2 linked regions of the Rattus norvegicus genome follow. The protein of the gene in region 2 purifies or fractionates together with the protein of the main gene of each other region. This does not show direct contact. Links are inferred from orthologs where the notes say so. Each region holds a gene or a part of one and is shown on either strand. Other genes may lie near its edges.

Evidence for each region. Proteins that work in one complex are often made in the same cells at the same time.
Region 1: the proteins of Smarcd2 (region 2) and Arid1b purify together in Homo sapiens (affinity purification with mass spectrometry; 5 studies listed by BioGRID and IntAct, with this or other methods). This does not show direct contact. The link is inferred for Rattus norvegicus from reciprocal best matches to the Homo sapiens genes SMARCD2 and ARID1B.

What each region holds. Positions count from the first base shown.
Region 1 is NC_086019.1:48,299,776-48,307,423, reverse strand, and holds part of Arid1b (AT-rich interactive domain-containing protein 1B), read right to left. Parts: intron 4,627-7,648; coding exon 4,417-4,626; intron 1,974-4,416; coding exon 1,769-1,973; intron 1-1,768. UniProt on the Homo sapiens protein: Involved in transcriptional activation and repression of select genes by chromatin remodeling (alteration of DNA-nucleosome topology).
Region 2 is NC_086028.1:91,697,932-91,706,309, forward strand, and holds the start of Smarcd2 (SWI/SNF-related matrix-associated actin-dependent regulator of chromatin subfamily D member 2), read right to left. Parts: upstream 4,478-8,378; 5' UTR 4,393-4,477; coding exon 4,177-4,392; intron 1-4,176. UniProt on the Homo sapiens protein: Involved in transcriptional activation and repression of select genes by chromatin remodeling (alteration of DNA-nucleosome topology).

The sequences.
Region 1 (7,648 bases), on a different chromosome or scaffold from region 2:
CAACCCCAAAAGTTTTATGTTAAAAGAGACCAAGAAAACATCTTGGCACAATGGCAAGGCAGGGTGTGGAGCCAGGGAGGCTGTCTGATGCTTGCAGGGCTGCTGCTGCTCCCTGTCCCCTGCGTGGGCTGTGTGTATGGTGTCTCTGCAATGAACGCTGACCTCACAGTCAACACCAGGAAGCTTTGCTCCTCCCACTCTCCCCAGTCACAGCAGGACCTTGGCTGCATCTGCACCAAGAGGTACAGCTCCCAGCCTAGTTCTGCTGTGCAGTTGAATGACAGCATTGCCATAAAGGCAGCTGTTCTAAGCTGGGGAGAGGAAGGTGCTGGCCGTTCAGAGAACCAGCCTCCACTTTCTGCAGGATCTGTGCCTCAGCAGGGCTTTCTGTTCTGAGACTGAGGCATGCTGGGAGAGCTATTCTCCACACACGAGTGCAAGCCATTTGGGGACACAGGGTCTTTCCTGACAAATAAAAACATCTTTAGATCTTTGCAGACATCACTGCTTTGGACCCTGTACCCCGGTAGGGTGTTATTTTGGAAGAACAGTTCAGGGCTGTTCACAGATCACTTCTTTCAGTCTGTGAACTGAATGTAATGTGTGCTTTTTAGAATTAGCCTGTCCCATGTTCAGGTATGCCCCAAGTGGTCAACGTTTGGGATCATTAAGGGTGAGGCTTTCTAGGAAGATTTCCTTCTTAGAACTGGACCTCTATCTAAGGATTGGCAGGCAGTGTACGGCTGGTTGCTCTTGATGCTGACAAGTCAGCAGAGAATCATTAGAAGTGAACAGAATTCTTTCTTTGGCTTCTGGATGTCAAGAGTGGACCTATTTCAAAGGCATTTCTTTCTAGGCTAAGGTGAATTCAGAGAACAACGCATGGTCAAATATCCCCAAGTAGGCCTCTTGCAGCCCCACTGGGTAGCTTTGGGTTCCTTATCTGCCTTTGTTCTCTTGGGGACATGTAAACTGCACCTGCATCCCGGGAATGAGACACTGTCTATGCTCAACAAACCTGGGCTTTCAGTTGGCCTCAGGACAGGCCCCACCTTATATAGAAATGGCAGGAGTGTCACCATTGCTGCAGGTAAGTAGCCTTAAATGGGATCTGTGATGACCAGTGACTAGAAACCAGAAATGGTGGGGTTTACCTAAGTGAGCCTACCACACAGACCCAAGCATGGGTCCAATTTCCCTGTCCCTAACACTGGATTTGCCAGCTCACAGTATGTGGTAACTTCACACTTTAAAGTCTAAGGGAGGGGGTAGGCCAGAGGAGAGCATGAAGAGTGACCTTATCCAACTGTGTGGGTGGAGTGGCAGGAAGGAGCTGCTTACAGACATGGTCCCCACGATGGCACCTGCCGGCCTTTGCTATAGCACTGACACGGATTCCCTTCAGGTGAGACCTTGCTGGACAGGAAACAGCAGAACCTAAGTCCAGATTTTATTTTATTTTTCCAAAGTACAAACTGGAGTGGCCCAGACAGAAGAGGTGGGCCTGAAGGTGGCGCCACCCAGACTGTAAAACACCAGAATGGGGTTCACAAAGATGTCTCCTATCCAGAGAGAGGGGATATTTTTCAATCCTGTATTACATACAAAGGCATCTGACTCAGGACTCTAAGGTCTACTCTGATGAGAAGAAAGAAGGCAGGTGTGCCCCGCTTCATGCTCTAACAGGGAGGTGGCACTCCATCCTTCGGGGAGGGCCTGAGCCTGGTCCCAGGGCAGCTGCTCAGGCTGCTGTAGCACTGTCACTTACCAGGAGATGGCGGCTGGAGCTTGGGCTGCTTCTTCGCATCCCCCGTGCTGAAGACTTCAGGCGGGGGCTCCTCCCCACGCTCAATTTTGCACTCGAAGGCGAACAGGTACTGAATATATTGCTTCTTCAGGGAGCTGGCTGCGCTGCTCGAAGTGCCAACGTTCAGGTTGGTTGCCAGCTCACGCCACTTCTTGTTTTTATTAACCTAGCAAAAAAACGGACAGGATGGTTGGTTCGCAGCAAAGTGGCTTGTTTAAAGCTGGGAGACAAACAAGCACTTCATGTCTTGGCTTACTTTTTTCATTTGCCTCTTTTAACTAATGCTCATCACTCCCACTCAGCAGCACACAGACAGCATTTACAGCTATAAAACCATTAAGGAGCCTGCTGATGGTGACATAAACGCCCACTTGCTGGGGTCTTCTGCCCGCTACATCTCCTATAGACTTGAGTAAGAGCTTCCTCATTCTGAGCCCCAGGATGAATGGAGAACCCAACACACACACACACACACACACACACACACACACACACACACACACACACACAGAGAGAGAGAGAGAGAGAGAGACAGACAGACAGACAGACAGACAGACCAACCCACCCTGGCTACCGTCTCCCATGAAGCCATCCTTGAGGATCCTTGTGGGATGGGCACAGAAGGTGCCCCCTGCTACTGGCTGGAGTATGGGCCAGCAGCTGAGTAGCTGGGACACAGGTTTGTGTATGTCCTATAGGGTTTTTATCAACGTTCCAGGAGAAGACGTGTGTGTGTGTGTGTGTGTGTGTGTGTGTGTGTGTGTGTGTGTGTGTGTGCGCGCGCGCTGGGGGAAAGCATTGCTTCAACTTTCTCATTTTTACCTAGAATGGGTTATGAGAACTTAAAGTCATGAATGAAACATGAACACACAAATAACTCAGGAAGACAGAAGCTTGTGCCTTTGGATGGGTGCTATGTTGAGTAGCTTGTAATGGTGATGAATTAATGAATTTCTGGATCCAAACTTTGGCATGAGGCTCTTTACATCCATTCACTTAGTACTAAATAGTCACAACAATAAACACACTGCTTGATTGCTCTGGGAAACACCTCTTTCAGTACTCAGCGGAAGTGGGTACAAACAGCAGGCCACGGTTGCTTCAGAGATGGCCAACCTGAGTGCTAGGATCTGAGCTGTCAGGGAAGTTTGTTGGGTGGAGGGGTGTACCATTGGTAATAGCAATACCGTGAGTGTCCCTGGGGTGTGCACTGGCTAAGCTGCAGAGTTGCTTGTGTGCTGGTGTAATCTGCTTATACACACTGTTGTGACTCAGGGAGCCAGACCAGAGCAACACACATCACCGATGACTGGATGCTAGTGTTTTAGTCTTGGAGATTTGCATTAGAGTTTAGCCTAGAGGAGGTGAGCAGAGTGGGAGGAGCAGAGGCAGTAGGGAGATGGGGAGAGGCGGTCCACCCGGCATGTGTGATGTATGTGGGACGCTGCAGAGTTAGACCAGAGTTCTAGTGGATCTAGTTATAGGCCTCAGTCCTCGGGGGGTGGGGTGGGGACTAGTAAAGGTGTGCCCTGCACCCCAGAACCACAGAACTGGGACACTTAGGGTGACAGGTTACTTTGGCGAGGTGTTTGCTGCCTCATTCCAACTGCCTCTTAGGCTTCTGGGGACCAGCTCTACAGCATTGATCTAGGGCTGGGATCTGGATGGTTACTCTTTAGAAAGTTCACAGGCCATCCCTAGTCATGGCAGGAGCCATGGGAACAGCTCATGTTTGCCATCGGTTGGTTCTGTGGCTTCTATTGCAATTTACTTAGTTATATATGAGTTTCCTCATGAATTCTTGGGGTTAGTGACCTGTGCCTTATAAGTAAACCCAGATAAAGGCCATGGTGAGGTGAGGTACATCCCCACTTCAACCAACCCCTCACTGAAAATAATGGTGCGAGCAAAGTAGAGTGTTAAGGACACAAGGACTCGGGGACACTCTGACGGGCAGCAAGCAATGGCCGTGTCTCTTGTTTTTGTTGTTTTGCACAGACAGAAAATGAGCATCGCCTTGAGTTCTATACCTGGGTGTGTGGCCTACTCAGCCAGCCCCCAGCTCTGTGGGTGAGCACAGTACCGTAGTCATGCAGGGCTGCAGGTTTTACTCTTACAACTGGATCGCTCTCTCTCTTTTCTTTTGAGGCAGGTTCTCACACAGCTGCGGCTAGCTCTGAACTCCTGGCTTTCCACCTTCCAACTATGGAAGCCCCACTATACACAGTTTGAATTTATAAATTGCTCTGGATATAGAAAAATAGTGAATTTGATTTTTATCTGGTCCATGATGAATTAGTCATTTGTAAAACACTTCTGGAGTATTTACCATGAATCTGTAGCAGATTCCAGAGAATTCTACAGCTGCCTGGGAAAAAGAGGTCTAAGGGTCTAGTACAGATGAGGGCATTGAGCTGTGACTCTGCCACAGGAGTTGCTGGCAGTTAGGAACTGTAGCTCTCTCTGACAAACTACAGAGTCCTAGGAAGGGACTGTGCTACAGGCTTAGCTTTTCCTCTGTGAGAGAAGTCAGAACCAAATACAACATCCAGAGCTGAACAGCACACCCAAAGGCCTGCCTCCAGCACTCCACCCTCACTCAGACTCACCTGCGCCAAGCCTCCGATCTCTTTGACGCACACATAGAGTCGGAACAGGTCCAGGGGCTTCTTGCCCACTGCCGGCAGACTGGACACGGGGGACCCCCTCTCCTCCATGAATGTCAGGTAGCGGTCGACCCACAGCTTCCTCTCCGGCTCAGTCCCCAGCTCATACACTTTTGTGATCTTCTCCCCAGTGGTGGAAGAGGAGCTGGACTTCTGGTGTCAGGAGGAGGTGGTGGTGGGCACGAGGGGTGGGAACGGGGTGGAGGGGAGAAGGGCCAGAGAAGGGCAGTGAGTTGGCGAGCATAAGAAAATACACTTAAAGCTGCTGCCATCACATATCAGCAACACAACACAGGCTAGAGTTCAGGCACAAGCTCTGCGTTTTCCTAAGTGACATACTGCGACTTTAAATAAAAGGACCCAGACTCTTAATTTAATACCTAAACCAAGTAAGCTGAAATAGGCATGTTGATAGCAGTGCTGAATCCAGGAGACCAGACTCCATTGACGTCTTGTGTGCTTTGGAAAAGAAAAGGCTAGCAGCCCAGAGAACAGATGCCTGTGGTCAAACTTCTCATGCCTGATGTTGGAGTTCCCATCACCAAGAAATACATTCCTACTTTTTTTCCTCAAAATAAAAATGATTAAACATGTCCTTATGAAAACACAGGTATCTACTTGGTGCTTGCTGCAGAATGGGGCGGGGCAGGGGGAAGGAGGAAAACCACAGACAGGAGACAGGTATGTCTCCAAGTAGGTGGGGTTTGGAGCCACTGGGGAGCTAAGGCTGTGTCAAGAGACAGCCAGCTCTCCCTACATAAAGTTTATAGCTTCTCAGCGTAACTGAGACAGGTGCCCCTGTACCAGTGCCTACCATTCTGGAAGCCACACTCCAGGCTTGGCAAGTAGCAGTTTCCTATTTCTGGCTATTTTCTGAAGCCATTCTGCATGGAGTGTTAATCCCTCAGATCACTGAGGCATAGAATATGTTTACATAAAATATATAAACATGGGTGACCTGAGCCCAGGGGTGTAAGTCTGTTCTCCCAGCTACTTGGAAGCTGAGGCAGGAGGATCACAAGTTTGAGGCCAGACTGGACAGTTTACTGAGTCCCTGTCTCAAATTAAAAGAAGATAAAGCAGGGAAAGGGGGTGGGAGGGCAGAACCTAGTGCTAGTGTCCAGCAAGGTCTAAATCCAGTCCCCAGTCCTGAAGGGCAGGGTGGGGAGGTGACACAGTTAGAATGGTAAGGAAAGCTTTTAAGGGTTAACTTCAGAGTTGAACTTAAACTTCAAGTCCTTTAGAAATTACTTTAGATAAGAATTACTTAAGGTGTTTGTGTACATATGACCACTGAGTCCAAAAGTAGGGTATGGATGACCTGGAACTGGAGTTATAGGCAGTTGTGAGCCACATGACCTGGGCCGTAGCTACTGGGAGTAGAAACTGGGTCCTTGGCAAGTACAGCATCTAAGTCGTCTCTCCAGCTCAAAGATGACAGTTCTTGTCCCTCTTCCCTTTTTCCCAAAGCAGTTCACATAGCAGAAGCATGTAGGTGCCTGTGCTAACCCAGGAGGCCTGCTGGCTAATCTACACCCAGCTCAGTTTTCCCCAGCGTGGGCCGGAATGCTCCTTTGCAGTGCTGTCTACAGTGGGCTGACGACTGCTCTCCCACCTATGAGCCAGGCTTGTTGATTCTGCGTCCACTCAGCACAGCACCCTTCACACTAATGGTCTTAGACATGTTCTATCAATGCTTGCACGTAGTTAAAAAAAATGCATGAAAGTTCTGACTGTGCTCAGGTTAAGAATTAAGAGACTCATTATCTTCTGCACAGGACAAAAGAGCGAGGTGTGACACAAACATGGTGACCACAGGAGACTGCAGCTGAGAGCAACAGTGGACTTCTCCCTGGCCCAAGGCTTGCTGGTGAGCCAACTGCTGTCCTAACGAGAGAGGAGCAGAGAAACGGAGCCCGACAGAGAGCACGTGTGCTTACTGCTGCCATGAAACACGTCTCTCTCGTTCCTAGACACGAGCTGCTGGGACCCTCTGAGGAGGTTTTTTCTCTTAGATCTACTTTTATTTCATATGTATGTATATCACGTGAGACAAGTGCCATGGAGCTCAGAAGGTGTTGGAGCCTCTGGAACTGGAGTTACAATGGTTGAGTCACCACTGGGTCCTGGGGACCAAACCTGGGTCCTTCGAAAGAGCAGCCAGTGCTCTAACCACTCTGAGCCATCTCTCTAGTCCCCACTTGAGGACCTCCAACAGTGGGAAAGGCCTTCTGGAGGCCCAGGAACTTTTGCAGTTGTTGAAGAGCCACTTGGACCTGCTTCTATGCTGTGAACACTATATCCCAGGTTCTAAAACCACTGGGGAGGGGGAAAACTTACAGCAAGATATTCTTATGGTACCACAAACGTTTTCCTTGCATACAGTTTAATTAAGCTAAACGCACATTTCCTTAAGTCTCTGAGGCAGAGTTCCACTTCTGCAGTCTTTACCATATGCTTGGTTCTATGTATATGTGTGTGGATGAATGTTTATTTATATTTTAGAATGTTTCCTAACAAAGCAGTGATGGTCCACAGCGCACTGTCAAGGCAGCCATAGCAGCTTTGCCCGGCTCAGGCTGCTGCTAGGGAAGCATTAAGAGCAATTTTGAGCACATAATGAGGTGGTATCTCAGAAGGAGAGTTACTGAGATACTCCTGAACTCGGATGCCCGTGGCGATCCGAGGCAACGATGGCACGAGGCCCCGTGTCCTCCCCACTTCAGCCCCCTTCTGAAGAGCTAACTCATTTGGAAAGGAGCACACAGCAGAGCATACAGCAAGAGTCTGGCATTTTCTACGCAACAAACACAGTTTCTCCTGCGCCTGTTTAGCACTGGAGCCAGGGGTTTGCTGTAAATTCTTAACACAAAACAATTGCTGGTCTACAAAGAGATAATATATGTGGTAAGATTTTTTTAAAAGAGAAAATCACTACATTTTAAGTATAATTATCAGAAAATAGGGTCAATACTTTAGTTTGCTTTTCTATTACATTTAAATACGATTGAGGAAAAAAAAACATTTTGGAGGTAGGGTCTTGCTATGTAGCCCAGGCTGGAACCTTCCTGCTTCACCTCCCTAGTCTGGGATTATTGGCTTGTACCATGGCATTTGGCTAGAATGTAGAATTCTGCACAAGCCATGTTGGATAAGGGACTGCGTGGAAGTTTAA
Region 2 (8,378 bases):
ACCACACCTGCCCCGCCCCTGCAACCGCCCTGGCAGCCGTGCCAACAAATGAGGCAGCCGGAGTCCATGGGCGGGAGGAGAGTGCCTCTTGCAGAAGGCAGGACCTGGGGAATTTTTTAGGACTTATCAACACCTTTCCAGCTCCAATATGCTATGTCCTGCACCCTGGGATCGGCCAGCTTCAAGGTATTTATAGAGTCCCTAGATAGCCCCTAGACACCCCTTCTTCCTTTCCCCATCCTGAAGGAAAAACATTACTCGGGAGACCAGAGGCAATGCATAGCAACAGCAACCAGGGGAGTCCGGGAGGATGTAAACAGCCTGTGCCTGGTGGCATGACGGGAAGAAAGGCAGTAGGGATGGCAAACCATTAGGCAGCAGCACCTCAGGTGAGCAGTATAATGTATGGCTTTGCTATGTCACAACTTGTGGGGATGGCCTCAGGAGAGTATAGACACCATCTGGTCACCATATGGCCCCTACAAAACCTGAACCCGTTGTTGCCCCCCCCCCCCCATTGCCATGCCCCTATCTCTATGTCAAAAGACCCTCAAAAAGGGAAATTATGGTTCTTGGGTGGCCTATGGGAATGAGAACAGCAAACATCTGGCCTCTGCCCATGGTCTCGGCACCACCTGGCAGCCAGGCTGCTGCTGGTCCGACTTAACCCTAGCCAGCCCAAACTGCAGACTAAGACTGTCTGGGATGGAAGGACACAGAGTCACAGCAACAATCTGGGTGACACGAGTAGCTTCTTGACTTCCCATCCAAGGCCCAGTTTTCCAACCTTTCTGGGAGCCCTCCACCTCCCAGCTCCATGCACATAGCTGCTGCCTGAAAGGCCTGTTTGGCAGCTCTGCCTTGCACACACTGTCCCTGGCAGCTTCACAGGCCTGGCCCCCGGGGCCCAGGTTATGCAATCAATCAGTACAACCAGACAACCAGGCCAGCCTGGGTGGAGATTCATACCAAGTTAAAGGCCCACCCCCTAACCCCCACACCCAAGCATCCTGAAGATGAGTCTCTGCGACTTCTTTATCTGGCACTAAGGAGTCAGACTCATGACCAGTAGCAGAGGGAGGGGAAGAAACACGACCCAGAGACAAGGGAAAGGGGATAGGAGCAGAGCAAGGATACAGTGGCAATTGAGGAGTTAAAAGTGGGAGACCCTGGGACCTTGGGAGTCCTGCCACAAGTCTCTCCTCATCAGGAAGAAATTCATCAAAGCTGTTGAAAGGCAGAAGACAGCCTGTTTCTCTGCTCTAATAAGCCAGAGCCAGAGATTATAGAAGGGGGGAGGGGACAAAAGAAAAGCCTCAGGTGGCCGAAGCTCTAAGACCCCATCATCACCCAGACTTGAGGGTTCCCTAGAGTTACTGCAGATATATCTGAGGCGCTCTGGTCCCCCAAAAGCTCTCCACCAAGGTTCATAAAGCCTATAGCACTGCTGAGCCCTCCAGGAAATCCCCCCGCAAGGCAGCCCAGGCAGGCCTGGAATAGGCCCCACCCAGACATCTGTTCCCCACTTCTGGGGCTTGGGCTTCAGTCCCCTGGCTCACCCGCAGCCTCAGGGGAAGGCTGCTCACAATTCAAGTCCTAGTTTCTTCTTGTCGAGCTCTACACCTGGGCTTTGAAGAGCTGAGTAACTCCGACTTAAAAACAAAACAAAGTCACTGAAACAGAGTCTCAGCCTCTCGGCCAGCCTGCCCCACCACAGAGTACGAGGCCTGCTTAAGTCCCCAGGACTCCGGAATGCAGTAACTTCCACTTGGTCAAGCACCAAGCCCACCCTCTAGGCTAAATTTTATAACCACCAAGAAGATAAGGGAAGTAGGCTAGACCTCATCCTGCCAGCTCTGGGCTAAGAATCTAGGGCTCAAGTAAGCATGTTCTGCTCTCCAGAAAAGTCTGTAGCCGGGATCCTGCTAAGAGCTGCTTGAACCTCAGAGCCTCATTTGGAGGCCAGACCCTGGCCCTATGAACAGAGGGTACTTTAAACTCTGAGCTGAGTGAAGCCGGCAATAATGCACACTAGGCTTTCTGTTTTGGTTTTGATCGTGGTACTTTAAACCCTTCAGGCTGATTGTTCTCCAAAACTAGAAAAACCCTCTAGAGGTAAATGAGCTATCAATTTATGTCAGCAGCCTTCCCATGCCCAGCCTGAGCACACACATCCTTGCCCTTCCTGCTCACCCCCAAGAGCTCTAACCAGGAGGAGCCCCTTTGTCCTCAGACCCCAAGCCTTTCTGGAAGATGGACACCTGGAAGGGATGGGAAAAAGCAAGCAGGGTCTCCTTCAAACTCAACCCATGTTAATGGGGTTCTCCTTCCTCCTTTCCCTGTCCTTCAGAGGAGGAAGAGGAGGAGGGGAGGAAGACAAAGAGGAGGAGGAAGAGGTAACAAGATGCCAGACTCAAGGCCATCTCCTTTCTCACAACTAGTAGCCACAGCTATCCAGCTGGCCAGCCTGGCCTCAGCATAGGCCCAAGGTCACTCTCTACAAAGCATGCAGGAATCCATCTTCCCGTCTTCACAGGAACTTTCCCAAGGGTACTTCTCTGTCAGCTGCATGCCAAGGGGACTGGTCTACATAATTAGTTGCAGGACAGCCAGGGCTCAGAAAACTAACCAAACCAGATATCCCCAGTGTCTGTAGGAAGCTACCAGATCAGTTCTAAGCAAGCAAGACCAAGGGCTGGAATAACTGATGTCAGTACTCATCGGTGAGACACAAGGTCCATTAATCTCCAAAGAAAGCAACATGGGAAAGATAAACCCCAGAGAGTATCCTTGGGACCAAGTCTATCCCTGTTCATACCCAAACTCGTCATTTTCTTTTGAGATAGAAAGAGAAGCGAAGTGGGTCACTTATCCCAACCCTCAGTTAGGTATCTCCTCAGGAATCTGACTCCTGGGTATAATATGCATGCTCCATGAAGATCTATTTCTGAGACGTCTACCTGAGACACCAGCAGAGGACAGAGTAAGCTACACCTTCGGACCTTCGTGACTGCAGTCCCAGCACTTGAGAGGCAGAAAGAGTTCAAGGCCAGCTTTGGCTACACAGCCTAGACTATATGGGACCCTGTATCAAAAAGCAAGGACCAAAAGTGACAAGGATGTGGGAAAGGATGGACACAGTCCCAGGCACTCTGGGAAAGGTGCAGTTCACTGATAGCAATGATCTGCCTCGTGCAAAGCCTGCCCGGGGTTCCACCCGGTGCAGGCTCAGCACCGAAAGGAAAAGCAAAATGAAACTCCCAAATATCCCGGAGCAACTTGAACCAGAGCCCTGGGGTATGAGGAGGAGCCCCACATACAGAGTCCCGCTGGGTGAGTTCCCAGTGCACTGACCACAGGATCTTGTCTCTGCTTGTCAACGACCTTTGACGCAGCAACCTGAGACTGCTCTCTTCCCAGACAGAAGGGTCTTGAAGTACCCTATGCAACCCAAGACCAGCAGGACTCCACAAAGCCTCCCTGCTCCTCCAAACTTAACTACTGGACACTGACATCAGGAAGAATGCCCAGTACAGAGGATATCTAGATGGGTCTGTTAATGCGATCGGGCTTTCTTCAGACCTGGCCATCGCTATCTCTAATCTATCCTGGGAGTATCTGGGCTCCCTCCCTTTGGTCTCCCATTTCGTAGGAAGCCAGGCTTCAACTTGAGCAGCTGGGAGCCATCACAGATATACTAACTCTCTGCCAGTTCCCAACTAGGAAAAAAAACAAAAAACAAAACAGCCAAGGCAGAGATGCAGTGGGACCGACTCCAAAGAAAGAGTAGCCCTGTTTTCTCACTAACGACCCTCTTCCAAAATTTCCTCACCACATCCCGGGTCACTCCCTCACCTCTACTCCGGGACCTGCCTTACACTTTTCAACCTGATTGCCCACAATTCTCTAAATCCCACGAAGCCTCCATCTCTAAGTTACTCAATGCCAAGAACTCCCGGGACTCTTCTAACTGCTTAAGTCCTCCACCGCAAAGGGCTTTCACCCTTTCCCCAACATTGCCTCCAACCCCTAGCCACTAACCAAAGGACTCTGGCCTGCCTGCCACCAGCCCTCGACAGTTCCTCCTGCAGTGTCCCCTGGGCGGCCCGTCCTCACCTGAGGCCCCTGGGAGACCAACCCAGCGCCCTCGAGGCGCCGCCCGCCTGCCTTCCTCACCTGGTACTGCGCCGCGGGGCCCGCGGGGCCCATGGGGCGGAAGGCAGCGGCCCCCGGTACCCCCATGCCTCCAGAAGGCCCCGGGCCCCTGAGCGCCGGGTTGGGCAGCATTCCGGGTCCCGCAGGCGGAGGCGGCGCACCGAGGGCCGCGGCAACGGCGCCGCCGCCGGGGCTCAGCGGGGGCAGCGGGAACCCGCCCGCGCCACGGCCCGACATCACTCTGTCCCGTCCCGCGGTGCAGCGATCCGGCCTCTCGTCTCCGTGTTGAGTCCGCTCCGCGAGCTCTGTTCCGCGATCCGGGACTTTCCGATTTTATTACCGGGTTCCGGGATCTTCTATTCCAAGTTCGCAAGTTCTTCCCAGCCCAGCTTTAGGATCCGCAGCCCCTCTGACTCCGCTCCTGCCAGGGATACTCCAGATCCAGGATGTGCTGCAAGCCCGCAGGCCTCTCCCGGCCTCCGGAGGTTTGATCGCGGGAGTCCAGTTACCCAGAGGCGGTTACGAACTCCCAGCCCCGCCCAACCCAGGCCTCGGCAGGCCCCGCCCCTGCCCGGCAGCCCAATCGAGAGTGCGTCTTTAAATCCCGCCCTCGCGAGACCCGCCTCAAACAAGCACCGCCCATAACTGACGGCCTCAGAGCCCCGCCCTCTGGGACCGCCTTTTCCCGGAGGAGCGGGAGCGGAAGCTGCACGCGGAAGCGCTGAGAGAGGCGCGGGGTCAGAGTTCGAAGGTCACGTAGGGCCGTCACCATGGTTAGGTGTTTGCCGCTTACTCCGGAGGACTACTGTCTCAGCGAAATGTCCGACATAGCCCTCCAAAACAGTCAATTCCGCGTCTCCAGGCCTTAAAAATAAGCGATCCGGGGCTGGGGATTTAGCTCAGTGGTAGAGCGCTTACCTAGGAAGCGCAAGGCCCTGGGTTCGGTCCCCAGCTCCGAAAAAAAGAACCAAAAAAAAAAAAAAAAAAAATAAGCGATCCGCGGCGGAATGGCCGCCAAAAACTTTTTAAGAGCCTATCTCAGGGCCTGAGGAGCCAGGCCAGTAGTACAAGGCGTTCACCTTCCAGGACCCCACACCCACCCACCCATATTGATTGCTGAGCGCTTCCAAGGACATGGGCGACCCCAGATATGACCTAGCTGGGTTAAAGCTTGACTTGGTCCAGCTCAGAGTACTTACCGCACTAACTTTTCTGTGCCTTTAAGGAAGCCTGGTAATTTACTCCGCAGAAAATGTTTTTAGGTGAAGGGATTTCGCATGCTGAGAGAACTCCAGGTAGTGAAATAAGTTTTATCCAGTTTGTATAGGACCTAGTTTTTGAAAAGTTGAGAACCTTTTCAGAAACTCCTGGCTTCAGCTATGTTATAGACCTACCCCTCTGCTAATGTGGTACCTCCTCACTCACGGTATACAATCAGTGCTACTTAACTTCACTAGGCACTGAAAATCCTCAGAATCGGGTTGGGGGATGTAGCTCAGGTTATAGAGTGCTTGCCTAGCATACACAAAACCCCGGGCTTGAACCCCAGACTGCATAAACTGTCTGGTGGTACACGCCAAAAATCCCAGCACACAGGAGGAGGCAGGTGGGCCAGAAGTTCAGGGTCGTTCTCAGCTACACCTCCAGCCGATTCTACAGGAGACCCTATATCAAAAGAAATCTGAGCTTTTTGTTAAAATGTGGTTTATGATTCAATGAAATGGCAGGGTTCAAGATTCTGTATTTCTCTTTTGGTTCTTTGAGACAGGGTTTCTTTGTGTAGCCCTGGATGTCCTATAACTAGGTCTGTAGACCAGGCTGGCTTCAAACTCACAGAAATCCACCTGCCTCTGCCTCTGCCTCTGCCTCCCAAGTGCTGAGATTAAAGGCATGTGCCAACACTGCCTGGCTTCATAGACCACATTTTAAGTAGACTGGGCAGAGACTTTTTCATAATAAAAATCCTTCACTTTGTATTCCCAATGAAATGATTTTATATATATATATATATACATATATATATATGTGTGTGTGTGTGTGTGTGTGTGTATGTATATATATATAATGTTTATGTTATATATATGTTGTATGTTATATATGTTATATGTTTTTTTTTTGTTTTTTTGTTTTTTTTTTGGTTCTTTTTTTCGGAGCTGGGGACCGAACCCAGGGCCTTGCGCTTCCTAGGTAAGCGCTCTACCACTGAGCTAAATCCCCAGCCTGTTATATGTTTATATATATTTTATATATATATATATATATATATATATATATATATATATATAATGTGTGTGTGTGTGTGTGTGTGTGTGTGTGTGTGTGTGTGTGTATTCCCTCCCATCCCTGCTGGGAAAGGTAGAAAATGAACGTCCATCTCAGCCCTTTGTAACTGCACAAGCTCTCGGAGAAGAGTGGTGAAGAGTCAGGCTCCTCTGGGAACTTATTTCAAGGATCCCTGCCAGCCTTGTCCTTTACTCTGGCACTGTATTTAAATATAAACCACCAGTCTTCCTGGTCCTGTAGAAAACCTCAACAGTGGGGGAAAAGGCAGGTTAGCATTGCAACTGACAGGCCAACCCGAGCTCTAAGGTAACACATTACTTTTAAGAAATAAATCCAAAGGGACAAGTTCCAGCATGGGCCCCCGTAGTTCCTTGGTTAACTGTTTGGTGGGCCTAATGGTGGCCTTTTAGAGTCTACAAAAGAAAACAAGATAGCTCAGTGTGTTGCCTAGAGCAGACCTGCAAAGGATCATTCCTCAGCACAGAAGACCCTGAGAAGGCCAGAATTTCAGGGAAAGCAACATGGAGAGTCAGGTCACAGTGGAGGTATTTTCGGAGATGCTGGCACTGCTGATCCAACCTCTTTCAGCTGGAGCATCCAGGCAGCTGAAGGATGGATGCATCTGCCACAAGGATGTGGTGGTGAAGGTAGGCCCAGGGCACTAGCTAGACAGAGGAGCAAACAGTCTTAGCTAGCAGGAAAGAAATAGATGCTCTACTAAAGACAGAAAGGTCCTGAGCATCTTGTACCCATCCCTGATGAACTACTAAAAAAGACGATATAAAAACATTTCCCCTCTCAGAAAACGTTCCCCAAAAACTTGATCCTCGGAGTAGTGCTATTGGGAGGGAGTGAAGCTTTTGATAGGTCCTTAAGATCATAGGGTGTGACGTGGTCTTCAAAGGGAATTGTGGGACTCCAGCCCCTTCTTCCTCTTTGCTCCTTGGCTCTTTATGGAAGTGGTCTTGTTCTGCTACACACCGCCACCATGCTGTGTTGTCCTGTCACGGGCCTAAGGTAATAGGGCTAGTAGAATATGGACTTTAACTTCTAAACTGGGCCAAACAGACCTTTTCTTATAGCGCTCCCTGTGACAGACTAAAATAAAGGTATCTGTAAGTGGGATGGAGAGATGATTTGGTGGCTAAGCACACTGCTCTTGCACAGGACTCAAGTCCCAGCACTCACATCAGGTGCCTCAGAACAACTTCAGTCCCAGGGGAATATGACACCTTCCTCTGCCTTTGTTAGATACCACATTTATGTTCAGAAACACACAGGCACATATATACAGAATTTTAAAACAAATTTTAGAAATATAAAAGTATCCACAAGATACCATAGAGAAACCAGAAACCTTTTAATGGATGGAGGGATCAATAAAGACTTCTGAGCTGGGACCAGCCTGGTCTACAGAGCAAATTCCAGGACAGCCAAGGCTGCACAGAGAAACCCTGTCTCGAAAAAAAAAAAAAAAAAAAAAAAAAAAAAAAAACAACCAACCAAACAAACAAATGAATAGAGTTCTGAGTGGAGGGTATGACGTGGATGAGAATCAAGTCAGTGTCACTGAATCACCAAGCATAAAACCAAAGCTCTTCTGTGATCACTGTCTTTACATACTTTACATACATGGTCTAACAGGTGAACGATCTAAAGTTGAGAGTCTGCAGGTGGAGGAAGCAGAAGCTGGTGTAAAGACGTGAGATTAGGTCCTAGGAGTTCAGCTTCCTAGCCCACAAGAAACTTCAGTTCTTTAATTTGTTTCTGGGTTTGCAGTGACAAAGGATTGGCAAAGAGGCGCTTACGGAGTTTGGAAAGGCTCTTTTGGAAGGAAAAAACGACTTGCAGTGTTTACAGCTTTGCTTGGGTTTGGCATCACAGCGCTTGCCAGATGTTTCCTTCTACTTTCTAAACTAGGGTGTCGTATCTGTAAGGCC